Linked DNA regions of Ovis aries. The protein of the gene in region 3 interacts with the protein of the main gene of each other region in a pairwise test. Links are inferred from orthologs where the notes say so. Each region holds a gene or a part of one and is shown on either strand. Other genes may lie near its edges.

The links.
Region 1: the proteins of TMEM79 (region 3) and SLN interact in binary tests that used the Homo sapiens proteins (3 or more experiments, as listed by UniProt). The two-hybrid records come from large-scale screens. The link is inferred for Ovis aries from reciprocal best matches to the Homo sapiens genes TMEM79 and SLN.
Region 2: the proteins of TMEM79 (region 3) and SFTPC interact in binary tests that used the Homo sapiens proteins (3 or more experiments, as listed by UniProt). The two-hybrid records come from large-scale screens. The link is inferred for Ovis aries from reciprocal best matches to the Homo sapiens genes TMEM79 and SFTPC.

What each region holds. Positions count from the first base shown.
Region 1 is NC_056068.1:16,906,706-16,911,795, reverse strand, and holds the start of SLN (sarcolipin), read left to right. Parts: upstream 1-1,551; 5' UTR 1,552-1,644; intron 1,645-5,090. UniProt on the Homo sapiens protein: Reversibly inhibits the activity of ATP2A1/SERCA1 and ATP2A2/SERCA2 in sarcoplasmic reticulum by decreasing the apparent affinity of the ATPase for Ca(2+). Also inhibits the activity of ATP2A3/SERCA3.
Region 2 is NC_056055.1:43,445,960-43,451,068, reverse strand, and holds SFTPC (pulmonary surfactant-associated protein C), read left to right. Parts: upstream 1-1,570; 5' UTR 1,571-1,582; coding exon 1,583-1,624; intron 1,625-2,354; coding exon 2,355-2,513; intron 2,514-3,097; coding exon 3,098-3,220; intron 3,221-3,462; coding exon 3,463-3,573; intron 3,574-3,918; coding exon 3,919-4,056; 3' UTR 4,057-4,066; intron 4,067-4,260; 3' UTR 4,261-4,462; downstream 4,463-5,109. UniProt on the Homo sapiens protein: Pulmonary surfactant associated proteins promote alveolar stability by lowering the surface tension at the air-liquid interface in the peripheral air spaces.
Region 3 is NC_056054.1:106,287,451-106,292,696, reverse strand, and holds the start of TMEM79 (transmembrane protein 79), read right to left. Parts: upstream 3,233-5,246; 5' UTR 3,115-3,232; intron 2,320-3,114; 5' UTR 2,277-2,319; coding exon 1,517-2,276; intron 1,260-1,516; coding exon 1,046-1,259; intron 1-1,045.

The DNA of each region.
Region 1 (5,090 bases), on a different chromosome or scaffold from region 3:
CTTCAGTAAGCCCTGTCTTTTTACAAGGCATGTGACAACAGAATGTTGTATTAAGGTTCCCCAATATTGAGTTTATATAAAAAATGAAGAAATGGAGTGGAAAGTTTTTGTTTTAGTAATATTTCTAGTTCATCAGGAATAATGGGGAAAAGTTTGAAGAAGGAAATGACAACCCACTCCAGTATTCTTGCCTGGAGAGTCCCATGGACAGAGGAGCCTGGTGAGCCACAGTCCACAGAGTTGCACAGAATTGGACATGACTGAAGAGACGGAGCGTGCATGCACACACAGGGAATTTTGTTTACGTCTTCTGCGAATACATTATTTTGATTGACTCTACCTGGGAATTCAGAGGGGAAGTTTGTTCTGTCATCTGTAAAGAAAGAATTTGATGAAAAAACACAATTGCTGGGGTCATGTTTAATGGATGTATTTTCAAGTTCAGTTAAATACTTTGTGCTCATTCGCTTAGTCATGTCCAACTCTTTGTGACCTCATGGACTGTAGCCTTCCAGTCTCCTCTGTCCATGGGATTTCCCAGGCAAGAAGACTTGAGTGCGTTGCCATTTTCTTCTCCAGGGATCTTCCTGACCCAGGGATGGAACCCATGTCTGTCGCACTGGTGGGCAGAATCTTTACCACTGAGCCAGCAGGGAAACCCTGTTAAACCCTTCAGAGGTTCCATTTACCACCAGACACCTAGAATGTTTATTACAAACTCATTTTAGTAGTCAAATTTTAGTAAATGTTTATGTTTGAATGTTACACAATTTTATTTCTTTCAGATATACTATATCTCACACTTTCCACTAGTTTTTACCAGTTCTCCTGCTACCCCCAATCTATCCAAATGACTGAGTTTTGCTGTATGGGTTTACTGCTGTATTAGTATATTGACAGAGATATATAAACCATGGCTTCTACAGCTGTTTCAGATGAAACTGTATATTGATGTGTAAACTTGCAACATACAGCTTAGCCAGAAAGTTATGTGGAACAGGTGACTGGGGAGATAGCTTTCACCACTTGGACTAAAATCAGTTTTGAAGGAGCTAAAAGATGCCTATCGAATTCTGGTGCATGTGTGTGGTTTGAGGAGTGCATGTGCACGGCAGAGAATTCTTTATACTTCAGAAACGTTGAAAACATGGGTGGTTAAATGAAGTTACACTTTTACACCCTCATATGCTAAGTGGAAGAGGCAGCCAAATGCTGTAAAAATTTGTTAATATTAGTCTATCACTCTTGGTTTACAGTGTTTTGAACACATGTTAGAGATACTTGTGAAGATGTAAAAGATGAATTTAAAACCTACATCAATTGTACCAAAAGTCAACTGGAAAGAAAAGGATTTTAAGTCCTTGAGCTTTTATTAATAATACAAATTCGCAGCCAAAGGAATAGCCTTAGTCAACACATTTTCATGTCCCCCTAAACACAAATAGCCTCCAACCTTTGGAGGTTGTTCCTTCGAGATGTTTCACCAGTGACATCACAGTGATTGCCACCTCCCTTGGACTACTTTAGGCCCTGCCCAGAGCCCAGAAGTCCAGACAGCCTGGGAGACAAGCAGGAGTTGGAGCCCAAGTAGGAGAGAGAGAGGAGAAGCCTACTGCAGCCCAGTGTGTCCTTGACCCTATTCAGGTAACAGCAGGATTTTTAAGCTTAGCATACAGTGTGTATGTGTGTACAAGTTGCAAATAAGAAAAGCACAGGAATATTTACATTTCTTAATGAAATAGACAATGCCTGTTGTACACAGTGTTTCTTAGACTAGAAAGAGAATATTATTGATTCTTGTTTTCCTTTTTTTCACCTTATGGCATGTGTTGTCTCCCTTCCTATTAAAAAATACCATACAGGAAAATATGTCTTCCATCTTTTCAAAGTCTCCATTCAAAGAAAGTTAATATCAAACAGTTTATTCAGAGTTCTTCTGTTTTTTTTCACTTTGAATCATATACTGTGATCTTGATGTCAGGAAAGATTTAAAATGAGGCCAAAATTGTCTTTGTGGGTTAACAGCAGAATAATGGAAGATTGCTGATCTGGGGTTTTACCTAACTGTGGTATAAATGTGTGTGAAATTAGAGCCCACTCCCTATAGTTAGCTTATATGTTGATTGAATTGGATTCACTAGAAATTCCCACCTTAATGCTGTGTTTTATTACTTTAAAAACATACAAAACAACAGCATTTAAGCTTACCATCAAAGGGCAAGATATAGTAAGAGGTAAACCATAGGTAATAAAGAAGTGTGATGAGTAGCTGTCAATTCAGAGACCACTGAAAAAAAATGTGAAGAGTCCATAAAACATACCCTTTGAACAATTATTGTAAGGCAACATCTGTATTAATATCACTCAGGTCAAGAAATTGTCATTGGCGCACTCCAGAATTCCATTCTTGATCACTTTTCCCTTTTGCCTTATCATCGGTAATCATCATCTTAATTGTTGAGCTAGTCTTATCCATGGTTTTCTTTATAATTTTACCATTTCTGTCTGCGTTCCTAAACAATATAGTTAAATTTCCTGTTTTGGGGTTTGAAGAAATAGAATTACATTCTGTGTTTCTTTTTGTAAATTCCTCTTTTGCTTCATAGTTATTTTTGTGAAATCCACCCATCTATTATGTGGTGCTGAGGTTCATATATTTTATTTGCTCTATAGCATTTGAAAGTATGAACATACCACAGTTCACATTCATTCTATTGCTGATGAACATTTGAGTTGTTTCCAGCTTAGGACATTATGAAAACGTTGCTATGAACATTCTTATATATATAAATCCTGGTATATATGTGCTTGAGTTTCTAAAGTAAGAGTGAAAGAGCCAGATAAAAGAGAATGAACATTATCAACCTCAATTTAAAAATGTCAAATTGTTTTCCCAAAGGTCAAAAATTTACACCAGCCAGGGCAGTTATTTGTGGTTATCATTCATGTTATCACTCCTACAGAGTAACCACAATCCAACAACTATTTCCAGCCTGCCAGTTCTAGTTCTGCCTCTAACTTGCTATGTGTCATCACACAAACAACTTAACCTCTCTCTAAAAGTCAGCTTCTTAGCAATAATCTTGGGAGAGAGAAAAATCACAAAACTTGCCTGAGTTGTAAAAGTCCGAATTGTTGGGAAGGTCACATGAACAAAGCTCTGGACAACTTTCAGCAACATTTTCTGAATGTGTTCCTGTCGTGTCACAGTCTCATAAGATTTGATGGGATAGTTATTTTGCCCTTCCTGGGTAAAATAATGGGTTGTTTTGATCATTGTAAATAAGGCCTCAAATTTTTTACATATCTTTGTACTTCTTTGGACTTACTCAAATAAATTAGTGTTTGGACCAGGATTTAACTTCATTAATAAATCCATAAGGAAGAATCTGCTTTAGAGTCTTTAGATTCTTTTGTTCTTAGGCTCCTTGCCTGAATTAATCAACTTCCTGTCCTCCTCTGCTCTGATGTACATGCTTATACATTCTCTCTATTTCCTTAATACTTCATTTTCTTCTGTTTACTTTCTCCTTCGAGCAAATCTTTGTAAAGGTTTTCATTGGAAATGGTGTAGAAGGCAAAAATATAAGTAAGAATTAAAAGGAAAGTGAATGATGAATCAGTTACCATTGGTCATATTTTAAACCAACATTCAACAACATACCTGTTAATATAATCTTATTGGAACTTATGTGTTATACCAACAATAACATAAGACATTAAAAAGGATCGTTTGACTGGTTTATGCAATTAATAATTTGGTACACTAACAATAAAAGAAATATAGTAATTATAATTCATAATTCAGGGGAGACTTCTTCCCCCTGAACTTCCACTTTAGAAAATAAAACACTTTTTCCCCTTAAACTTTTTCTACTCCATAGTAGACTTTTGCTCTAAATAGTTAAAATTTTATTTCTAATCTTTACTTTCATTTGGTTTGCATATACACAGTGTCAATTATGCCACATCACTGGAAGTAATAATTTAATGTTTCTCAAAGCATGATTTTCCACAAGTATCATCTATACAGACTATAAAGATACCACCCCCACTTTTTGAAGTGTTTACAATATAAGCACATCCTGGACTTGACTAAAAATAGCTGGCACAAGCCCTTGTTGAAATAGAAGTACCCATGGGGTTAACACTTGCTGTTTGGACTGAATGCCTGTTATGTGAGGGACTTTTTGTTGACCCCAGTAGGCTCTATGCCCAAAGCAGGGATTTCAAGAGGCCAAGCAGCTGTTGAAACTACTTAATGCTTTCACAGGGTTAGACAAAGATAGATCAGCTTGGAACTTGAAAAATTATGGTATCCTACCTCTGTATGTAATTTGAAGCAAGAAAAAAATCTAAGCCATAACATTTTTTTTTTTTCTGTTTTGGTGACCTTACTTGCTGGTAGCAAAGCAAGCAAGTATGCACACACATATGCACAGAAGTTGGAGAAAGAAAAATGCAATATTTTGTGTTTTATCAAGTGAAAGTCACTCAGTCATATCCAACTTTTTGTGACCCCATGGACTATATGGGATTCTCCAGGCCAGAATATTGGAGTAGGTAGCCTTCCCCTTCTCCAGGGCATGTTCCCAACCCAGGGATTGAAACTAGGTCTCCCACATTGCAGGCAGATTGTTTACCAGCTGAGTCACAAGGGAAGCCCAAGAATACTGGAGTGGGTAGCCCATCTCTTCTCCAGCTGATCTTCTTCACTCAGGAATTGAACCAAGGTCTCCTGCATTGCAGGTGGATTCCTTACCAACTGAGTTATGAGGGAAGCCCCATAAGCATCAATATAATCATCACAGGAAAATAATCAGAACTGTATCGGTCTTTTTGACATCAGGTCAAGAGAAAAAAAAAAAAGGCTCTCTGTGTAAGTCAAGGTTTCTCAGAGAAACAGAATCGACAGGGAGGTTGTGTGTATGTGTGTGTAATATAATTGGCTTATATGATTGTGGAGGCTGGCAAGTCCAAAATCTCCAGGGGAAATTAGAGGCTGGAGACCCAAAGAAGAGTAATAATTCTAGTTCAAACATAGTCTGGAGGTTAGATATCGGAAATCAAAGCATTGGCAGGGTTGAGTT
Region 2 (5,109 bases), on a different chromosome or scaffold from region 3:
CAAACATTCGTGTTCACTTTAGGAATATTCATGAAATGGCACAGGCTATCAAGGGTATGTATATCCCTAAGGCCACCAAGTGTTTGAAGGATGTCACTTTACAGAAGCAATGTGTGCTGTGCCCTTGTTCCAATTGTGGAGCTGGTTGATGTGCCCAAGCCAAACAGAGGGGCTAAACATAGATTTGGTGACCCAAAAAGAATGCTTGAGTTTTGCTGCACGTGCTTAAAAATGCAGACAGTAATGCTGAACTGAAGGGTTTCGACGTGGATTCTCTGGTCAACAAGCCCCCAAGATGCTGCACAGGACTTCGCAGAGCTCACAGTCGGATTAACCCCTGCAGGACTCCCCCCGGCACACAGAGATGATCCTGACTGGGAAAAGAGCCAGTTATTCCTAAACGTGCACAGAAACTTGCGCGGAAGAGAAAGCTGTCCCAGAAGAAACTGAAGAAGCAAAAATGTATGGTCTGGAAAATAAATTCAGCATAAAATAATTTCAGGGACTTCCCTGGTGGTCCAGGGGTTAAGAATCCGCCTGCCAATGCAGGGGACACAGATTCAATCCCTGGTCCGGGAAGATCCCACCTGCCCTGGGACAACTGAGCTGGTGTGCCACAATTCCTGAGAACTCACTCTAGAGGCTGTGCTCCGCAACAGAAGTCACTACAGAAGAAGCCTGTGCACGGCAACTAGAGAGTAGCCCCTGCTGGCTGCAGCTAGAGAAAGCCTACAAGCAGCAGTGAAGACCCAGGACAGCAAAAATAAACAAATAAATAAATACAACTTAAAAATAAATGCAAAAATGGTAAAACCAGGTTAAAAAGAAAAAGCCTTCAGCTTACAAACAAGCCCATACAAAGAAAGAAAAACTGCATGTTAGTAAGAATTTATAACTAGAAGGGACAGTTTTCAGAATTTGGGAAAGAATGACCAGGGGCATGTCTGAGGTTAGGTACAAGACATGTGTGAATAGGCAAAGAAGGTACACTTGAATTGAAAATCTGACACTCCCAGGAAATTTATGAACCATTTATGAAACTCTGCACTGATGCCAAAGCACCTCGTGCCTTTGGTACTATCCCTGTGGGTCCACAAGATTTCCCCTTCCTGGAGCTTAGGCTCCAGGGGCAATTTGGAGGCAATTCTGGGAGCAAATCTGTTGGGAAGTGTGGTGGACCCATTGGGTCTGGCCTTTGGTTGCCAAAGAGGTTCAGCCTGGCAGAAGAACAAGAAAAGCCATAAGATGGCAGGGGCAGGTGCCAGCAAGAATGGTAGGCATGCCAGGAAGACACCCACGGTGAGAGGTGCAGATTTCTCAAGGGCAAGGTTGCTCAGCTTACCCAGCTTTGCTTTCCCTGGGGCCAAGAGGACTCACGCGCCAGGGCCAAGGGCCCTGAGGCGCTCTTGCAGCTGGCTTATCTGGCCCTTGGCTCTGAAGGGCCAGGAACAAACAGGCTTCAAAGCTGAGGGCTTGGTTGGCAGACAGGGGCTGGGTCTTTTACCTCTGTCCTGTGTCCATGCTGGCACATATAAGACCCTAGTCATACTCAGAGATGAGGAGGGAAGGTGTCTACAGCAAGATGGATGTGGGCAGCAAAGAGGTCTTGATGGAGAGCCCGCCGGTGAGTCTGATCGTATGTACATGTATGTGTGTGTGTATGTGTGCAACAGTGTATCTGTGTATGATGGGCTCTGCCTCCTCCAACTTCTCCGGGCCTGTTTCCTACCCAAATTCATTCACTCAACTAACCTAGGACTGTGCTAAATTAAGACAGGGACACCAATCACTAAGACAGAGACTCTTGGAGTAGCAGACTCAGCAGCCACTAATTCTCATACAAGGGGCTGTGAGCCATTAAAGGGGTCTGTGGAAAAGACTGTAGAGAGCACTGGGAAAGGAGCCACTACGCGGGAGGTCACAGGAAGCTTTGCAGAGAAACTAACATTTGAGCTGGCTCCAGAGGAACAAGTCAGAGCTCAGCAGGTGGAGAAGGAGGAAGGCATTGCTGGAAGAAGGGATCATACACCTAAAAGCATGGATTTGGAGGGGAACTGGAGGGGATGGGTGTGGCTGGGATGTCAGAGGTGTGGAGGAAACAGCAGCAAGTGAGACTGGTTGAAACAGGCTCTCTTGGATCTGTTCAAGCTAGACCTCACTTCTAAGCATCTATGAGTTTGTTGGAATCCAGGCCCCCTCCTCCAGGAAGCGTCTAACCGGCTCAGCCCTCTTCTGCACATCCATGGCATTCTTTGTTCAGTCCCGGGAGAGACTGGGAGGGTGTCCCGGTTGTGCAGGGAGAAGTGGCATCTTCATGACCTCATACCTGTCTCCTCGCCTGCCCCACATGTCAGGACTACTCAGCAGTCCCCGGGGGCCGGCTCCGCATCCCCTGCTGTCCCGTGAACATCAAACGCCTTCTCATCGTGGTTGTGGTTGTGGTCCTTGTCGTCGTGGTGATCGTAGGAGCCCTGCTCATGGGTCTTCACATGAGCCAGAAACATACAGAGATGGTGAGTAGGCTTGGGATGGGGTGGGCAGTGGATACAGGGCAGGTCAGATAGAGGCCCTGGGATAGAGAGCAAATTGCCCACGGGGAATGAGGGGAGGAGGCAAGTGACGCCTCAGGGAAGGACAGAGGTGGAAACAGGGTGGCAAACTCTGCCTGGGCTTTTTCACCAGCCCCCACCCCACAGTTGGACAATCTGTTCCCTCCAGTGCCTGGTTCCCCTGGGCCTCTCTGAGCTCCCAGGGAAGAAAGAATTGCATTTGAGTAAAGAGGACTGGGGCCTCCCAGGCGGTGCTAGTGGTAGAGAACCCGCCTGCCAATGCAGGAGACATAAGAGATGAGGGCTTCATCTCTTACCGGTCGGGGAAGATCCCCTGGAGGAGGGCATGGCAACCCACTCCAGTAACCTTGCCTGGAGAATCCCATAGACAGAGGAGCCTGGAGGGTTACAGTCCACAGGGTCTCAAAGAGTTGGGCATGACTGAAGTGACTGAGCGCAGCACAGCACAAAGGGAACTGAGGGTGGGCATGAGGTGCAGGGATGAGTGGGGAAAGAGGAATGCCAGGCAGCACGATGCCCTCCTCTAGGTTCTAGAGATGAGCATCGCAGGCCCGGAAGCACAGCAACGCCTGGCCCTGAGTGAGCGTGTGGGAACCACTGCCACTTTCTCCATCGGCTCCACTGGCACTGTGGTGTATGACTACCAGCGGGTGGGTATGCGTGGACCTCTTGACCCCAAGGCTAAGGAACCAGTGATAATTCTGTGCTAGACCTCTTCTGCTTTGGCCTTCCTACAGGTTCATCTCTCCCCACGCCCAGCGCTTTTGCTAAGCGCCAGATTCCAGTACGACTCCTTCCAGTGCCCAGCCTAGAGGGGGATGGCCTAGGACCAGAGTTAGGAGTGAGCTAGGCAGCGGCTTCCGAACTGACCCTCATATGTTCCCATGCCCAGCTCCTGATTGCCTACAAGCCAGCCCCCGGAACCTGCTGCTACATTATGAAGGTGGCTCCGCAGAGCATCCCAAGTCTCGAGGCTCTCACTAGAAAATTGCCGAACTTCCAGGTGGGTGTATGGGTAAGAGGGAGTGGGTTGGTTTTTCCCAGGGCTGCTGGCAGGAGCATTTTAGATGATGATTTTGTCACCTGTAAAATGCTGCTCCTCGTGGACTGCCAGGCGAATGTTCTCCCTGGATCCCCCTGCACCCAACCTTTCCTAGCCAAGTTCCCCATCCCTGCCCCGCAGCCAAGCTGCTGGCTTAGCTGAGCCCACACACCCCCTGGGGGCTCTGACTCCAGCACAACACCTTCTTTACACAGAGACTGCCTGGTACACCTGAGGTCCCATGATAAGGACCATAGGTGAGACAGAAACTGAGTTCCCAGGCTCTAAACCAGATGCTCTTTCCAGGCCAAGCCCCCAGTGCCTTCCTCGAAGCTGGGCCAGGAGCAGGGCCGTGACGCTGGCTCAGCATTCTCTGGGGACCTGGCCTTCCTGGGCAGGACCGTGAGCACCCTGTGTGGCGAGGTGCCCCTGTACTACACTTAGGACTGGTCAGGTGAGCAGGTGTGACCTCCAGGGCACAGGAACAGACGCAGTCCTGACGGTTTGGGCCACCTCTTCACGTCAGCTGACCAGGCACTGGGGGACCCAACAAGATGGGGTCACCTACAGAGCTCCAGGGAGGGAAGGTTCACAAACACCCCCTCCAGTCCTCCCTCACATAATAAACAGTGTTTCTTCGCTTCCCAGGGCCTCAGGAAGCCCCAAAGGGACAGTGGAGATCCAGGAGCAAAGGGTCTTGTGCAGATTGGCAGGAAGTGGATACTGTCGACACCACTGGGACTGGCCCTGGAGAAATGGGAGCTGTGGGGAGAGGTGGGCAGAGGAGAAGCAGTTCCTAGGGCCCAAGGGGGCTCCTACCACCAAAGATTAAAGCATCCTGATTGCAAAATGCGTCTGTCCTCTCACAGCCCGGCTCTTGGTGGGGGCCGACCAGGGGAAGGCTAGAGCCTTGGGGGCGCCAAGCCGGCTTTCGCGTTCTCCCCCATCCCAGGGTAAGGAGACTGGGGAGCAATCCGCGGGCTCCAGGCGCCCTCCAGTGGCGTCTCCCGAGGGAGGGAGCGAGACGGAGACGGCGAAAGACCGAAGGACCGAACTAGAGGGACAGGGACCGAGATGGGCGAGAGCGAGGGTCCGAGAACCCGAGAGAGCGAGAGCCGCAGGCGGGGAAACGCAGTCCGAGACGAGGGGGGGCTAGAGCGGGGCGAAGGCTGCACGATCGACCGGACGGCGTGTCCGGAGGCCCAGGAGGGGGCTCGGGCCGGACACCCCGGGGACCGGCGCCCCCTTCCCGGACCCGCCGCCTCGCGCCCCGCGCCGCCCGAGCCCCCTCCGGGCCTGCCGGCTCCGTGCCCTCCCCGCCTCCGGCTGGCGTGCGTCCCGGCCCGGCCGATCGCCGTCCCGGCCCCGAGGGGGGCCGAGCTCCGGGCGAAAACCCGCCCTCCAGCGAGCTCATTTCCCTAAAGGGGGGGAGAGGGAGGGAGGGAGAGAAGGAAAGAGACGGAAAGAAGGGAAGGGAGAGCGGAGAAGCCGGGCCGG
Region 3 (5,246 bases):
GGTTAACATAGTTTACATGAAAATAACCCTGCTGCTGCTGCTGCTAAGTCGCTTCAGTCGTGTCCGACTCTGTGCGACCCCATAGATGGCAGCCCACCTAAGGATCTTCAAATTCTAAATGAAAGGAGAGTAATGAGGCTGCTATGAGACCTGCTGCTGCTAAGTCGCTTCAGTCGTGTCCGACTGTGCGACCCCATAGATGGCAGCCCACCAGGCTCCCCCATCCCTGGGATTCTCCAGGCAAGAACACTGGAGTGGGCTGCCATTTCCTTCTCCAATGCATGAGAGTGAAGAATGAAAGTGAAGACGCTCAGTCGTATCCGACTCTTAGTGACCCCATGGACTGCAGCCTACCAGGCTCTTCCATCCATGGGACCTTCCAGGCAGGAGTACTGGAGTGGGTTGCCATGTGCCCTCAGTTTCGATGAACAGGACAATCCCTTGACCAGTTCCCACCCCCTTCCCATTTGACAAGCAGAATTTCCTGCCTAGATGGAAAGACACAGGCTAGTGAAGGGACCAGGACCATTTAGCAAAGTAAGCACTGGGAGAGCAGACTGTTGGGAGTCAGAATTGAGAGGTATTGTCAAAGATCTGAATTGACTAGAGAATTCCAGAGGTTAGAGTCAGGGCAGAAGTTTTTAGCACAATATAAAAGAGAACTTTATAAAAACTAGGACTTTTGATAAGTAAGACTGCCTTATAAAGAACAAAGCATTTGGTCACGGGGATGTTCAACCAATGTTCAGCCAGTGGCCGCCTGACCAGAGTGTCACCGAGGAGTGGTTGCAATGGGTGGGAAGCTGGTCTAGGTGACACCCGAATGCCCTTCCCTTCCCGTTCTAGGTTGATATATGTGTCTTACGAAAGACACAGGAGCTGCCAAGTGAGGTAAAGTGCAAGGCGGAAAGTGGACTCAACTTTCCAGGGTGCACATTTGGGCTGATTCAGAGTCCAGAATCTCCCTGGCTCTCCAGACATTCAGATGCCCAGGTCCCTTAAGCACCACTACCTCCCCTGTGCCCCACCCCCAGCCCCAGCTCACCGGGAGATGGCAAAGAGACCAGTGAGTAGAGGGAGCAGTTTGAGGGTATCTTGAGGCAGGTAGGTGGAAAGCACGGCCAGGTTGAAGAAGTAGAGGATGAAGAGCTGGACCGACTGGGCCACATATCGCCGGTGGATCTCCACCTCCCGCCGCGGCTCCCCAAAGGGCCGAAGGGCAGAAAAGCACAGCAGGCTCAGCCCGTACACCAGGATCCCTGGATGGGGTTGGACAACACACAGGATCAGGTGAGGAAGCAGGTGGCAGAGTTTGTAGCACGGGCATAGGGCTCTGCACCCTGGATGGGGCTGAGGTGGTCCTGAGTGGAGGTGGGCACACAGGGTGACAGGGTGTGGGAGGCCCTGAGGGTCCAGGTCTAGTGATGGAAACTTTCCTGCTCTCCAAGTCAGGCAGGCCCTGCCCTCCAGCCCAACTCCCAGACGCCCCCTCCCTACCCGCAGGGCCCAGGCTTACCCAGTACAATGGGGAAGGTAGCAAAGACCCCACAGCGCAAGGTGTAGATAAGGCGGGAACTCATGGTCGGCAGGCGTGGGGCATCGAAGGGCAGGAAGGCGTATGCCCCGTAGAGCAGGCAGGGGAAGAGGATGAGGGCAGCTGTCACCGAGGCCACGGCCCTCAGCACCTCTCGGCCTCCACAGCCCCCACAGCCCCCACAGGAGTGGCCAGGCGGCTTCACCACTGCTTCGGCCCACTTGCACTCCGGGGGCTCAGGGTGGGTGGCCCGGGGGGGCAGGAAGGTCCGGCGGTGCTCACCCTCGCTGGCCTCACAGCACACAACGAGGTCCTCCTGGGGCCGCCGCTCAATGCACTGTAGGTCGATGGGCACGAAGGCCCGGGCTGCCTTCTCGGGCAGCAGGCTGGCTTCATCTTCAGGCAACTCCTCTAGTTTGGTGGGTGGCTCTGACTCGGGGGGCTCAGGCTCAATGTTCCTCCAGCCCGGGGGATCTGGGAACGGGGCACTGGGCTGGGGGCCAGTTCCCCAAGGCAAAGTGGCAGCCTCACTTACTGTGCTGTCTAGACCATCCTCGGTCCCCTCTCTGGCTGTGGGAGACTCAGCTGCAGACCCCACTCTAGAGGACTCAGCTCCAAGGGACTCAACCCCGTCTTCCCCTTCCAGCTTCCGGCCATTGGGGACCAAGGCCTGGGGTGGGCTCTTCTCCAGGGTCTCAGGCCCCTTCACTTCCAGCAGGGCCAGGGTCTCGGGTTCTGTCATCCTGGGACCTGACTTCTGAAGTCTACCACAAAGTCATGTCACCCTGGAGGGAGCAGAGTGAAGTTCTGTCAGAAGCTGCCATCCTCTGGCCCTCAGGAGGGGTTGATTGAACTGCAACTCTCCAGGGCAGCTGGCCTCACAGGCTTTAGCCCCTTCTGGGATCTTAGAGAGAACCTGATCTGGAGGAAGGTGTTCAAACAGTGGGAGGCAGGAGAGAAGTGAACAGCTGAAATGGAGGCACCCTTTCGACATCAAATGCTTTTCAGCAGGAGAGGGTGAGTCAGGGGGCGCAGGCGCTGGCAGGTATGGCCTCAGTCAGCCTCCACCCACACCTTCTACCCCCTCCACCAAAACCCCTGGGGTCATGGCCACCCTAACGCAGGAACGGGAGGAAAGGGAGATATTTAGAATTTTGCAAAGGGCTTTCTTCCCATGAAGGATCTTGTGAACAGAGAAGCTGCCCCTTCTCCTCCACATCTCCCCTTCCCCTGCAGATCCCCGACTGGAACTTTCCTGGCAGCTGACACCCATGATTTGCCAACAGATCTGTCCCAAGGAGCTGGCAGTGGCAGGGCACCCTGGCCTTTTGTCTCCAATCTGGATACTCGGTCAGTTTCCAAACTTCTCAGTAACCCACCCCCTATGTCTCTGGAGGGCCCAGGTGGATCCACTCTGACCTCTAAGTCTAATGAAGGTTGTTTCCCATGCCTCCTCTCTGGTCTTTGTCCCCTCCCTGCTGCCTTCCATCTCACTGCTTCTGGATGGGGCTGATTTCCCTCTCTCTACCTCCCCAAGGATCTCCTCCCCCCTACTGTGTGGGCCCATGACACCCTCTTACTTTCCATCTGGAGAGAGGTAGAGGGTCCCCAGCGTCCGGGAAGGAGCTGCCCAGCTCTTCTGCTGGCTCTGCAAGTATTCCTTTCCGTCTCCCTCCCTTTACCTGTGTCTCCAAACCTGTCTGACCAGAGCAGGTGGGGCCCAGTTTAAAGGCGAAGGCCCCGCCCTGCTGAATCGGCCGACAGAAAAAGCATTAAAGGAGGAGTCATACTTTCTGAGCCTAGAGGTGTGTGTCCTGGGAACATGGGATATGTAGGAACTCCCAGCACAGGAAAGCAAAGGGGACAGAGTGGGTTTCTTCATCAAAGGGCTCTTGAAATAGATTGGGATACCCCAAAAGAAGTAGAATTACTACCCTTATTCATTCAGTATTTACTGGGCACCTATTATTATTAGTTAGGCACTATTCTAGGGACAGACACAGGAAAGAACAAGATGACAGGCAAAGTCTCTGTGCTTAAAAAGCTGGCTCTGTTGGGGTAACAGATAAATAAGAAGCCCAGCAATTAAACCAACATGACAATATCAATAGGGAGAAACCTCTTTGCCAAAGTGATATTTGAGCTGTGACCTGATGGGAAATCTGGAGAATAAGTGTTCCAGACAGAGGAACAGCAAGTGAAAGGCCAATTAGTGGGAAAGACAGGTTGTTTCAGGACAGAAAGGTCAGTCGATGTCTAGAAGGTGAATTTATGTTCCCACTACAGGGTGTACATGGGTCCACTGAACACTTTGCTTTTTAGGTTAAGTAAGTAAATAAGCAAGTGAAGTCTCTCAGTCATGTCTGACTCTTTGTGACCCCATAGACCGTAGCCTACCAGGCTTCTCCATCCATGGGATTCTCCAGGCAAGAATATTGGAGTGGGTTACCATTTCCTTCTCCAGGGGATCTTCCCGACCCAGGGATTGAACCCGGGTCTCCTGCATTGGAGGCAGATGCTTTAACCTCTGAGCCACCAGGGAAGATACTGCGCTTTTTAGGTTAGGTTTAATATTAAGAACGGAGAAGGCAATGGCAACCCACTCCAGTACTCTTGCCGGGAAAATCCCATGGACGGAGGAGCCTGGTAGGCTACAGTCCATGGGGTCGCGAAGAGTCGGATACGACTGAGCGATTTCACTTTCACTTTTCACTTTCATGCATTGGAGAAGGAAATGGCAACCCACTCCAGTGTTCTTGCCTGGAGAATCCCAGGGACGCGGAGCCTGGTGGGCTGCCATATGGGGTCGCATAGGGTCAGACGCGACTGAAGCGACTTAGCAGCAGCAGCAGCAGCAGCAAGGTTAAGAAAGCAATAGGAATCCAACGTGATCTTTCCCATGGAAAGACCAGGTGGGCAGAAACATAAGGCTGTTGCTTCTCATTCCTGTGGATCTTTTCCCCTAAAGTCATTTGAGCTTTATGAGGGGAGGGGCAGTGTCTGAGTTGCTCATGCCTGCGTCTCCAGAACCCAGAATTGTGGCTGGAAGATGGCAGGTGTTCAATAAATGTTTGCTGGGCTGGTTGGAGATTAACAGCAAATGGAAATCTTTGAGTTGGGGTAGGGGAACTGAAGGGCCCAGGTACAGAAGTTCTGTATTGGATGGCCTTTCTCTTATGTCATGCTTGACTGTCCAAGAAATTTTTCACATACACGTTTTTTGTTTAATAGGGAAAAGGGGAGCATTTGAATCATTCTATCCAGCAATCTGAAAGAGGCTCGGCTCAAACGGATGGGCCAAATGACCACTGTCGGACAAAGCAAAGTCATGCTCCTAGCTGTGAGCCCATCTGCCCAGATCCAGCTTAGCCTCAGCACGCTCGCCGCAGAGGCCACTGCTTGTTGTCTGGCAGCTGTGTCAATAAAGTTTCTCGCAAGGGCTCACCGAAGCCGGAAAGAGGCGAGGCTGCCCAGAGTTAGTTCTGGCAACTTCCCGGGAGGGAAAAAGAGTTTCGCGAGATTTGGTAGCGGCAGGCCACTGGCCCGCCACCTGCAGCTGCTATCGCGAGATTTGGCAGGCGGAGGAGGAGCTGTCGCGGTCAGCCGCCTCACAGCGATGGCGGCCGAGCAGGGCCGGCGGCGGTGGCGGCTGCGGCTACGGCCGGAGACAGCAGTGGTGGCAGTAGCGGTGGGTGGCCGGGGCCTGTGACCG